Linked DNA regions of Arabidopsis thaliana. The protein of the gene in region 2 interacts with the protein of the main gene of each other region in a pairwise test. Each region holds a gene or a part of one and is shown on either strand. Other genes may lie near its edges.

The links.
Region 1: the proteins of AT1G61490 (region 2) and TBL32 interact in a protein complementation assay, tested with the Arabidopsis thaliana proteins (one large-scale study listed by BioGRID).

Annotation. Positions count from the first base shown.
Region 1 is NC_003074.8:3,455,484-3,461,361, forward strand, and holds TBL32 (TRICHOME BIREFRINGENCE-LIKE 32), read right to left. Parts: upstream 3,898-5,878; 5' UTR 3,818-3,897; coding exon 3,336-3,817; intron 3,246-3,335; coding exon 3,074-3,245; intron 2,901-3,073; coding exon 2,701-2,900; intron 2,583-2,700; coding exon 2,424-2,582; intron 2,160-2,423; coding exon 1,817-2,159; 3' UTR 1,519-1,816; downstream 1-1,518. Other genes in the region: DREB2B (DRE/CRT-binding protein 2B), read left to right, coding at 526-1,518; ENGase85B (Glycosyl hydrolase family 85), read left to right, coding at 4,549-5,052, 5,241-5,378, 5,473-5,582, 5,649-5,760, 5,846-5,878.
Region 2 is NC_003070.9:22,684,478-22,691,303, forward strand, and holds AT1G61490 (S-locus lectin protein kinase family protein), read right to left. Parts: upstream 5,135-6,826; 5' UTR 4,751-5,134; intron 4,628-4,750; 5' UTR 3,791-4,627; coding exon 2,536-3,790; intron 2,412-2,535; coding exon 2,301-2,411; intron 2,090-2,300; coding exon 1,938-2,089; intron 1,860-1,937; coding exon 1,649-1,859; intron 1,561-1,648; coding exon 1,323-1,560; intron 1,226-1,322; coding exon 1,075-1,225; intron 974-1,074; coding exon 677-973; 3' UTR 654-676; downstream 1-653. Other genes in the region: AT1G61500 (S-locus lectin protein kinase family protein), read right to left, coding at 5,252-5,545, 5,673-5,823, 5,914-6,151, 6,240-6,450, 6,529-6,680.

The DNA.
Region 1 (5,878 bases), on a different chromosome or scaffold from region 2:
ATAAAGAAGAGATTTTTGCCTAAATAAAGAAGAGATTCGACTCTAATCCTGGAGTTATCATTCACGATAGGTATGTTTGATTTCCAATTAATCTTTTCTGGGTTTGTCGATTTTTCGCTGAATTAGTCTCGAAGAGGGTTTTGGGTTTGATGAATTTTGGGTTTTAGATGTTTTCGTGTTCATTGATTTGTTCAAAATGTCATCCTTTTAGGTTTCGCTGTTTTTGAGAGAAATTTGGGAAATTTTCTAATTTAGCGTTTATTTTTTTTTACACGGTTTCTTTAATCTAAGACTCGGGTTAAAAAATTGGAAATTCTAATGCGATTTTTGCTTTTCTATTAATAAAGTAAAACTTGGTGAGCAAGTAAAACACCCTTGGTGCCCAAGTTGTTTCTGTTCCTCTTTATAACTATAAATTCCGTGACTCGATAATTTCTGTTTTCTGAAATTGAGAGGAAGAGACTGATTCAAAACCTTTTTTTTTCCTATCTTGTAGATTCTTAGATTGCGACTATAAAGAAGAAGATGGCTGTATATGAACAAACCGGAACCGAGCAGCCGAAGAAAAGGAAATCTAGGGCTCGAGCAGGTGGTTTAACGGTGGCTGATAGGCTAAAGAAGTGGAAAGAGTACAACGAGATTGTTGAAGCTTCGGCTGTTAAAGAAGGAGAGAAACCGAAACGCAAAGTTCCTGCGAAAGGGTCGAAGAAAGGTTGTATGAAGGGTAAAGGAGGACCAGATAATTCTCACTGTAGTTTTAGAGGAGTTAGACAAAGGATTTGGGGTAAATGGGTTGCAGAGATTCGAGAACCGAAAATAGGAACTAGACTTTGGCTTGGTACTTTTCCTACCGCGGAAAAAGCTGCTTCCGCTTATGATGAAGCGGCTACCGCTATGTACGGTTCATTGGCTCGTCTTAACTTCCCTCAGTCTGTTGGGTCTGAGTTTACTAGTACGTCTAGTCAATCTGAGGTGTGTACGGTTGAAAATAAGGCGGTTGTTTGTGGTGATGTTTGTGTGAAGCATGAAGATACTGATTGTGAATCTAATCCATTTAGTCAGATTTTAGATGTTAGAGAAGAGTCTTGTGGAACCAGGCCGGACAGTTGCACGGTTGGACATCAAGATATGAATTCTTCGCTGAATTACGATTTGCTGTTAGAGTTTGAGCAGCAGTATTGGGGCCAAGTTTTGCAGGAGAAAGAGAAACCGAAGCAGGAAGAAGAGGAGATACAGCAACAGCAACAGGAACAGCAACAGCAACAGCTGCAACCGGATTTGCTTACTGTTGCAGATTACGGTTGGCCTTGGTCTAATGATATTGTAAATGATCAGACTTCTTGGGATCCTAATGAGTGCTTTGATATTAATGAACTCCTTGGAGATTTGAATGAACCTGGTCCCCATCAGAGCCAAGACCAAAACCACGTAAATTCTGGTAGTTATGATTTGCATCCGCTTCATCTCGAGCCACACGATGGTCACGAGTTCAATGGTTTGAGTTCTCTGGATATTTGAGAGTTCTGAGGCAATGGTCCTACAAGACTACAACATAATCTTTGGATTGATCATAGGAGAAACAAGAAATAGGTGTTAATGATCTGATTCACAATGAAAAAATATTTAATAACTCTATAGTTTTTGTTCTTTCCTTGGATCATGAACTGTTGCTTCTCATCTATTGAGTTAATATAGCGAATAGCAGAGTTTCTCTCTTTCTTCTCTTTGTAGAACAATAAGTGTACGTAATTAACAAAAATTATAACCATAATTTACAATTACAGTTCTAAAAAAATCTTGAATTTAGAGAAAAGAATCATGGATAAAATAACTTGGCAAAGAAAAGCTCGTTCCAAGTATCTTGAAGACCAGGCAAGCACCAATGTATACAGTCTGAGTAGCTAGCCGGATTTGCTAGCTGCTCCTTCGTCAATGGGCTCCATTGCTTCTTGTAGATTGACGTGTGCGCGTCTTTCCGATAGCCAGAGAGTTGTGTAATGTTAAGTACCGTCACCGGAAACTCTGCTCTTTGGTCTAATTCCTCTCCTATCACTTTCATTAAGGTTTTGCTGCAGTCTGATGGCCAATGGTTCATGTCTTGGATCGGTGTCGTTTGATTGTAACAATTTTTTCCTTGTTCGCCTCCCCAATCCTCGCCCCTGATCATGGAGGTAGACAAATATGAAACCTTTGTATGCTAAATCTTAGTGTGGTTTCTAATTGCGGATCATGTTATAAGCCACATTTACTTAAACTATTAAAGATAAACCGGATCAATCTAAACTCCATTACTCATTTCATTCAATACCAAATCCGGACTACATTGTTCTAAGCCATATATCTCCTCTCTTTTTGGTTCCTGGTTTTGAATTTGAAGTGTTTATAGATAGTTAAATCACAGTAAAGTTCAAGAAGTTACTGACTTGTAATGAGTAGGAGACATGGTAGCAAAGAAAACCCTCGTCTTCAATGGATCCATATTCTTCTTCACCCATTTAACCATAGTCTTCAACGCCATTCTATAAGCATCTTCACTCTCCATCTCAACGATTCTCTTCTTCTCATCCTTGAAAGAACCTTCCCTTCAAATAACAAATCGAAAAAAATAATCAAATCATAAGTATTATACAGAAAAGTATTTGAGAACCTATACTTAAGAAACAATGACGAGAGCTTTAAATTTCATGATTGATAACATACAAGATCTTCATTTTGAAGCCAGTCCTCCACCACAAGTATGTGTTGAACACAACTATATCAGCCCCTCGCCAATGCCTACCGTGTTTGTTGATCGATCCTTTCCTCACAATTCGATCTGATACTCTATGAACTGTTGCGTTATCTGAATTCGATTCTAGAAGAAACGGTGCCCAATAGAACTCAATCGTTGCATTGTAATCCTACATAAACATACCACAAGAATCTATAAGAATCCTAACCAAGCCAACAGTTTTCACATCTAAGCTTAATCTTTGTCATCCTCATACTCAGATCTCTATGAATTGTAACATCAGATTCTACAAAGCAACTTCAATGGCTTCCGCAAGACTTTCTAAATCTGAACCAAACTTACCTTGAGAGAGAAGACGGTGAGTGATCCGAAAGTATCCATGGATTTGGAGTTCTCTGGGATTTGTGAATGAAGAAGACAGATGAGAGAAACATACATTCCTCTGTTCAACGAATCTCCAACGAACATCATCTTCTTCCCTCTTAAGCTCTCCAACATCACCGTCGCATTAAACCTATTAACACATTCAACAACCACAGAGCAAATCCGATCTGAAGATCAATCACCGAATCGCATTCAAAATCGAACGGAGAGAGAGACTAACGAAGGAAGTGAGCAGGAATCAGGTCGCCATCTCCATGACTGATAATCACTATCGGGACGGCCATGCGTGCGGCAAGTGAGCTGCGGCTGAATGTACGGACACTCGGATTCTCTGTAAAGTGGACGCGTTGACCAGTCTTTGACCCAATTCCCTTTGAAGACATCGCATCCTTCCGGCGTTTTACCTACTGCAAAAGCAGGTGGCGGAGGAGATGGCGGTGGAGGAGATGGTGGTGGAGGAGACGGTGGTGGAGGAGAAGGCGGAGGAGGAGATGTTGGTGGAGGCGGAGGAGGTTCGTCAACTACAACGACGATTGCGGATTGGTGGACGATCGTCGGAGAGTGAAGAGATCGACGAGAGAAAGAGATGAAATCGTGGCCGTAGATGAAGGCGGCGAGTAAGATGAAAGCGAGTACGGTGAAGAAGAAGTGTGTGAGACGGCGTTTTCTACGGTTAGACGGTGAAAACAACGCCGTTGTCATATTTTTTTTTTTCTTTTATTATAACGTTTACCTTTTTTTTTCTTTTTCCTTTTTACGCCTTTCTCTTTTTATGGTGTAGTAATGACAAAATTTGGTTTGATTAAAACTTTAATTTGGAGTATACTGAATTATTATAGTATATGATTTTAATGTTTATAAACAAAGCTATAATTTGTTGTACTTGCACGATCCAAAACCAAACCCATGTTCTTGCCCATAATTAAGCACGACTGTTTATATTTTAATTCAAACTTACAAAATTGGAACAATTTCGTTGCTTGTATCCAATGAACTTATCTATCTCCAAATTAGTCTGAATTCCAATTTGGATTACGGTGTTATAAAACAAAAAGAAAGCAAGAAAAGCCACTACACTTTTTGCTAATCACATGTTTGAACTTTTAAAGGATCAACAATAACATTTAACTTTGTTTGTATTCAAAGGCCTTATAAGCATTTTATCAGATCCAATAAAGAAGAATCCAACTTTTCATGCCTTAATCAGTAATCACAGGCCAAGGCCCATATAAATATCTTATCTCTCTGCTTTCGTGTAAGTTTACTTTATAAAAAAAATGAAATTGTCATGTCGTTTAGATTCACATCAAAAGAATGATAAATTCACATGCTCTGTTTTTTTTCTTCTTTAATTTGGCGTACGAATAAACCAAAAGAAGAATAAATTAAATAAAAAGCCATCGTCATCATCTTCCTTCGTTGACCACTGCAAAATGCGAGAACTTCTTCGCGCCTATTTCTCTCGAAGAACTCTCGTATCTCTTTACAATCTCTTCTTCACCCTCTCCCGTAAGCTCCTCACTTCATTTCCCCTCTCTCTCCTCATGCCCAAATCCAACGATGACGACGTTGCACAATCTGAAGCCGTTCCGTTGCTTGATCTTGTCAAGCCATCGTTACCTATATCTTTCCCGATCAAAGCTCTTCAAGACCTGAAATCTCGCTCTTACTTTGATTCCTTTCATTTCCAGTTTAATCGCTCCACAGTACCTTTCCGCCGAAACTCCGACTGTTTACCGAATCGCCCAAGGGTTTTAGTCTGCCATGACATGAAAGGAGGGTATGTAGATGACAAGTGGGTACAAGGGTGTGAAAACGAAGCCGGATTTGCGATTTGGCATTGGTACTTGATGGACATTTTTGTTTACTTCTCTCATTCTCTGGTCACTATTCCTCCTCCTTGCTGGACCAATACTGCTCATAGGCATGGCGTTAAAGTAAGTAAGCTCAAAACTTTTTGATTGTTCAACATCCAAAGTTTCGATTTTTATTGAGATATCTCTGAGTTTGCTGATTAGGATGATAAAATTAGAGAGTTTGATTGTTTGTGTACAGAGATATGAATATTGCTGAGGATTTTATTGGTAAAAGTGTTTACTTTCTTGTGTGTTATGGAAATATAAAGGTATTGGGGACTTTCATCACAGAATGGGATGAAGGAAAAGCTACCTGCAAAGAGATGCTTGCCACAAAGGAGTCTGCTCAAATGTATGCAGAGCGTTTGGCTGAACTTGCTACTGCTCTAGGCTTTGATGGGTGGCTGGTGAGCATTTTTTGCTTGGTTTTTATAAGATATCTGTATTTGATGGGTGGCTGGTGAAGAAAGACTTCTATAATATATAGACTGTCACTTGCAGATAAATATAGAGAATGATATAGATGAGGAACAGATTCCAAATATGAAGGAATTCGTCAGCCATCTAAAAAAAGTCTTGCATTTATCGACACCTGGGGCTTTAGTCATATGGTGAGTTGATCAGAAGTTTTTCTTTGTTCTTTTTGTATACCACTTTGTTCTGATAACTTTCTGCAGGTATGACAGTGTCACTGTTCGTGGTAATCTTCAGTGGCAAGATCAATTGACTGAGCTGAACAAACCTTTCTTTGACTTATGCGATGGAATATTCATGAACTACACATGGAAGGTCTGTCTATGGGTTTGATCAATCTCTCGAGTCTCAGTTTCTTCTATTTGTCTTGTTTTACTATTAGTGAGTAATGATGTATCAGGAGAGCTACCCAAACCTATCAGCTGAAGTTGCT
Region 2 (6,826 bases):
AACCAAGAAAACAAAGTCACGTTGTGAGTACTATATTCTCAAACACCTACAAATATGTTGACCAAACCAGACTTATGTTCGAAAATTCTGCATTGCTTAATATAGTAATAGAAAATAAATATAATACTTATGTAATGGCCACGAAAAAGTCCAACGTTTTTACCCAATCTGTTTCTCCCATAGCAACATTGTCATTTTCATGTTCTTGTCAATGATAGGAATATATACTCTTGCATCAATCGAATGGTCAATCTGACTTTAAGAACCCGACATTTAACCCAATCAATCACGCATTGATTGACCTAATCTGTGAAAGATACATCAATGTTTAATTAATCAGACATTTCTTAGACAATAATGAAGTAGTGATGAGTGATGACTCGTCTAAAATAAGCACCTCTAAACAATTTTCACCAGTTGGACCCAACGAAATGAATCCTTAGCTTGAAACACTGTGTCAGCCTCAGAATCAGTAACTTGTAAGCCTAAAGCGCAACTTTAAAGCTTTTCTTAAAGAACCATGGGTAATACACCAACTAAATGGTTTCTTAAAGAACGAAAAAAAAACGCAATAAAAGAATGGATCAGTTCTGAAGATTTCAACATTCATAAAAAAAAATGATAATAAAATTGAAGTTATCAACATCAGTAGTACAATTTCCATCACGGTGGTTTCTTAACGCCCAAGGATCATAGATTGTGTCATCTCATTGACGGTAAACAAATCCTTAGACAGAGATGATTCATCATCCCTAGAGTGCACTACAAATGTGGGTTGTTTTGGTGATGGAAGATCTGATGTTGTCGTGAGCATAGCCAGCAACTCAAGTGTGTTTGGTCTGTCTGCAGGTTGGTGTTGTACACAGAGCAGACCAATCTGAACACACCTTCCAACTTCTAACGGACGACATGAATCAGCAAGATCTTGGTCCAAAAGATCAATTCCTTTGGTTTCACCCCAAGATTCCCATGCCTGTTGTTTAGACGTTTAGTTTCATATCTTAAAGAGTATCAGAGCAAGAACCACTTTTGAAATCCTTTGTAAATGTGTGAAAACATAAAGAATTAACTTACATATGCGAGAAGTGTTTTTCCTTCTTCGCCATAGCTGAACCTTGAGATCTTCTCTCCGATGATAATTTCTAGCAGTAGAACTCCGAAGCTGTAAATGTCTGATTTCTCAGAGAATACTCCGGTCCATGCATACTCAGGAGACATATATCCTCTGGTCAAAAATAAAATAGTATCATATCACCTAGTTTAATATTGGACTAACATGACAATGAATCTTGCCAAGCATGTTATTAAAGACAGGTTCTTACAGAGTTCCTACAACCCTGCGAGTTTTGTCCTGACATTGGGTTCCCTCATACATCCGAGCCAATCCAAAATCTGATATTTTCGGGTTCATTTTCTCATCCAGAAGAATGTTGCTGACCTTCAGGTCTCGGTGAATTACCTTGAGGCGTGAGTCACGGTGAAGATAAAGAAGTCCACGTGCAATACCTTGAACGATATCAAATCTCTTTGGCCAATCAACCTCGAGCTTTTTTCTTGCATCTACCATATACAAGTTATCAGATAAGAAATTCCGGTATAGGGAGAAAAAGCTGCAAAACAAAAAGAGAAAGACCAAGAAGTGACCCACCAAAGACAAAAGTATCAAGGCTTTTGTTCAACATAAACTCATAGATCAGTAGTTTCTCTTCTCCTTCGATGCAACATCCCAAAACCCGGACTAAGTTTCTGTGTTGGAGTTTTGATATCAGTACTATTTCATTCATGAACTCCTCTTTTCCCTGTCCGGAGCTGCTAGAAAGCTGTTTTACAGCAATTTCTTTCCCATCTTGTAACTTTCCCTGAAACAGATTGCAGAAGGTCAGTTCGAGGGCATAAACAGAGGATCTTGAAGAGCAAAAAGGATAACTTCTCCTGACCTTGTAAACAGAACCAAATCCACCTTGTCCGAGTTTGTTTGATAGACTGAAATTATTGGTGGCAGTTTGTATGGTATTCATCTCAAAAAATTCTAAACCTGGGACCTCCTTTGATTTCAGATCATTCCTCCAGGCATCCTTTAACGTATAGGCTGAAAATTGAGTTAGAACTCGCGTGTTAGGTCATAATATCTTCAGATATTTTGAAGCAAAGAGAACATATGATAGTTCAAAGAACATAGAGTGCGTCGATTTAGTGTAGGTTTGACGTAGTGGGAAAAACTTCGCTTTTTATCAATTTAAGTTTTCAGTAATTTGTAATAAATGTAACGACAAAGAGATACTATGATAATCAGTGTGTACCTTTATGTTTCACTCTGTATCTCCAGAAACCAAATGCAGCAGAAGTCAATATCACAAACAGAGAAAGGCTCACAGTACTAGCAACAATGATTTTGTTGCGCTTATTTCCACCTGAGATATTTAAGACATAAATAAATTAAACAATAAACCATATTGCTATCAAAGAGAACACTAGAGTTGAAGACAAAGTTATAATTAACAGACAAGATCGTCTATGTTATCTTTTAAGCCGTACCTAGTTCAGAGTGTGCAAGACGAATGGACAGAATTTCTCCTCCAGCAGAAAATTGCACAGCGTCCATTAGGTTCTGGTTCCAGATTAAGCACCCTATTCCATGGATATAAGCAAAGGCCAAGCAAGAACAATTGTGGAGGCAACTTTGGTGGCATTCTTCAGCATCCACAGAACTTTCATATTCGTAAAAGTCTGGAAGCTTTACGTTGGTAACAGGATGGAAGATATTTACATCTTTGCCAGTAGAGTTTCCTTGACAATGTAGTTCCGTAAGCCTCGCACAACCACCAGTCCAGTTTCCTCTTTTCCATTCCTCAGTGGAATGAGGAACAAATCCTTTCAAGCATTTGCACTTTAAAGGTACTGACACAATACACAACCCAAATGGTCCACATACACCGTAAATATCGCATGAATTGGCTGGAGCCATGTAGCTTAATTCCCAGTCCGTTCCATTATGCCGAAACCTTTTCATTGATCCTTCTGATGATATAATTATACGTGAAAGTTTGAAACTTCTATCAAAATAAGTAAAGAATCCTGACCCGTTAGCATCCTGCTGAAGGCTGAATGGACTTGCATATGTGTCATCCATTAGTGGTATCCCTGTGAACCTTGTTTTAGCCCATGGACCGGTTCTATAATAACGCGTCGAGCCTCTCATAATAAGCACCTGTGATGGCACTTGTGGTGTAATCTGACCCACAAATACGCCAGGCGATGGATCAGTGTCAGTTTTCCAAGAAGTCAACACCCGCTTCTCACCTGTGGCGAGATTATACATCAGGCTTGAGAAAGGTAGCATAGTGTCACCAAAGTGCTCAAAGCTTTCCCATAAAGTTCTTCCCGAAGCATTGTCTATGACAACTAGATTTCCGTTGTCTGTAAGCTCTGCACGAGACCCATTAGATGCAAAATTTTCTCCGATGGACCACACAACACCATGTTTGCCATTAAACAATAGAAGACTACCATTGCTGCTGATAGCAAGATTTGCCGATGTGTCTGTAGTAGGTGTTTCTCTATTTGCCACCCACACAACCACCCGGGGAATGATACCCTTGAACCAGATTCCCACATACAGATTTTGGGAGTTATTAGGACTGAAAAACCCCAATTCATAAATTCCATTAGAGGAGCTGAGTGTTTGTTCGACTGACAAAGGACTTTCTGTCGTTATCCCTGCATAGCTAAAACGTAATAGGACGGTAAACAAGAGCAAACAAGCAAAGAACACAATCCTCTTCTTCCCCATGTGTCTACAAGAACTATTTTCTTAAGATTAATTTAAAAAACAAAGAATTATTTATTTAGCAAGAAAGTAAGTCACAATAACAAAGTCAGGGGCTTGTGAGGACCTTAAAACAATGCTGACTGCCTGACCGCAGTTGTGTTCCAAAATTCTGCATTACTTCATCCACAATCAAATTATTAGTATAAAAATAATATTAATTATGTTTTCAGTTTGTCACGGAGAAGTCTAACCTTTTAACCCAATCAACCATTCAAGTTGACCTTGGAACCAATGAAAGTTAGACATCTACACTCTGAGATGAAAATATCAATCAATCAGATTTTTCAACATTAGTTTATGAAGCGAAGTGAGAAAGTTAGCCAGGAAAAGCAAAATCGCAGGGACTTGTGGGAACTGTTTTCTGGGACCTATAAGCAATGTTGACCACAAGAGATGAGCAAAAGGTCTGCAATATAGAGTCTTGACATATTGACTGATTCAAAGCTGCAATATCTCAGCAAAAAACAGTCTAGGTTCCCCACTTGGCATTGTGAGTAGTAATTTCCATGAAACTTTACTAAACCTTATCTCATAATACCAAAAAAATTTCAATAATTTCCAAGAAGTCTAACCTTTTACCCAATCAACATTTGACCTCACAAAGCAACATTTTTCATGTCATTGTTAAGTTGTTGGGCCAGAACCAGTGAATGTTAGGCATGTATACCCTGCATTAGTCAAAAGATGAGAATTTATAGCCTGGCTAGAAGAATCCAATCGATCGACTTCAGACTGAAATATTGTGTTGTTTCCATGTCCTTGCCAGGTCTTGGAGTCCAAGAACCAAATCTACATTCCCTGCAACAATTGAAAGATGAATATATGAATAAATCAGATGAATTAACATCAAATCTTTCTTATTGGTTTCTGAAGTCGTTGTTTTTATCTTACAACACAGTTTAAATTGTTGACTAGATATACCGGAACAAGTTCTTGTACTGCAAACTACGTTAAATCTCGTTCAAGCATTTCACCGAACACTTAGAGTGCATAATCGCTAATGTCGTTGAACTCTAGTTCCCCAAATCGAGACCGAAACTACACATGGAAGTATGGCTGATTCCAACTCCCAAAATCTGGGCTTAAGTGATTCTCCCCCAAATTTAACATTGGTGTCACCGGCGAGAGCAGAAGTTGTGAGACGACACACATTGGAACCGAAGAAACCCCAGAATAGGAGATGGGTCGAGAACCACTGAATGAGCCAACATATAGGTCGAAGGATCCATCGACTCTTCTGGGTTGCCTTCAATCTCTTCCAAGTTCGTGAGATGTTTAAGTTAAAAACCTTTTTATTTGGATTAAACAATGTTGAAGTTTTTATTTTAAACAATGGTGAAGTCATTAACACTGAAAAATGAACTCTTTAAGAGAACAATTTTAACACACTTCAATTCCACAATTTCCATCACAAATGGTTTCTTAACGCCCAAGGATCACAGATTGCGTCATCCCATTGACGGTGATCAAATCGTTAGACAGTGATTCGTCATCTCTCGTGTGAAATGCAAATGTGGGTTGTTTTGGTGATGGAAGATCTGATGTTGTGGTGAGCATAGCCAGCAACTCAAGTGTGTTGGGTCTGTCTGCAGGTTGGTGTTGTACACAGAGCAAGCCGATTTGAATACATCTCCCAACTTCTAATGGGTGACATGAATCAGCAAGATCTTGGTCCAAAAGATCAATTCCTCTGTATTCAGACCAAGATTCCCACGCCTGTTGTGATTTCAGACCAAGCGAATATAAGAGCAATACATGTTTTCAAACAGTCAGCGAGATCTGCGCACTTAATGAGAATCAAATACAAGATCTTACTGTGTCAATGCCTATAAATCTTACTTACATATGCAATAAGGGTTTTTCCTTCTACGCCATAGCTGAATCTTGAGATCTTCTCTCCACTGATGATTTCTAACATTAGAACTCCGAAGCTGTAGATGTCAGATTTCTCAGAGAACATCCCAGTCCATGCATACTCTGGAGACATATATCCTCTGCACATATATCAAATAGTTTCTCCCAAGTTAATATCTGATATTAACTTTGAATCTTAGTTAATCATGTCTTTGAAATTAGATTCTTACAGAGTTCCTACAACCCTGCGAGTGTTATCCTGATATTCGGTCCCCTGATACATCCGAGCCAATCCAAAATCTGATATTTTTGGGTTCATTTTCTCATCCAGAAGGATGTTGCTGACCTTCAGGTCTCGGTGAATAACTCTGAGGCGTGAGTCATGGTGGAGATAGAGAAGTCCACGTGCAATACCTTGAATGATATCAAATCTTTTTGGCCAATCAATCTCCAGCCTTTTTCTTGAATCTAAGAAATAAAACTGTCAGACAAACAGTTTCCACATATATATAAAAAGTTACTGAATAGTAAAGGAAGGATGCAAGAAGGGACCAACCAAAGAGAAAGGTATCAAGGCTTTTGTTCACCATAAACTCATAAATCAATAGCTTCTCTTCTTCTTCGATGCAACATCCCAAAACCCTGACTAAGTTTCTGTGTTGGAGTTTTGAGATGAGTACTATTTCATTCATAAACTCCTCTTTTCCCTGTCCAGAGCTGCTAGAAAGCCGTTTAACAGCAATTTCTTTCCCATCTTGCAGCTTTCCCTAAAACAGAATTGCAGAAGGTCATTTTGAGAGTATAAACAGAGAATCGAGAAGAGCAAAAAGGATAAATTCTCTGACCTTGTAAACTGAACCAAATCCACCTTGTCCGAGTTTGTTTGATAGACTAAAATTATTGGTGGCGTTTTGAATGGTATGCATATCAAAGAAATCTAAACCTGGGACATCTTGTGGTTTCAGATCATTCTTCCATGCATCCTTTGATATATGAGCTGCAATTCAAAACATGGCGTTATAATCGTATGTGAGCATATTAAGCTTTTTTATTTTTTAAAGCCGAAATCAATGTACCAAAAGAACAAATTGTCGTTTAAAGAACATGTATTAGTGCGTCGATTTAGTGGAAACACTCCCTTTT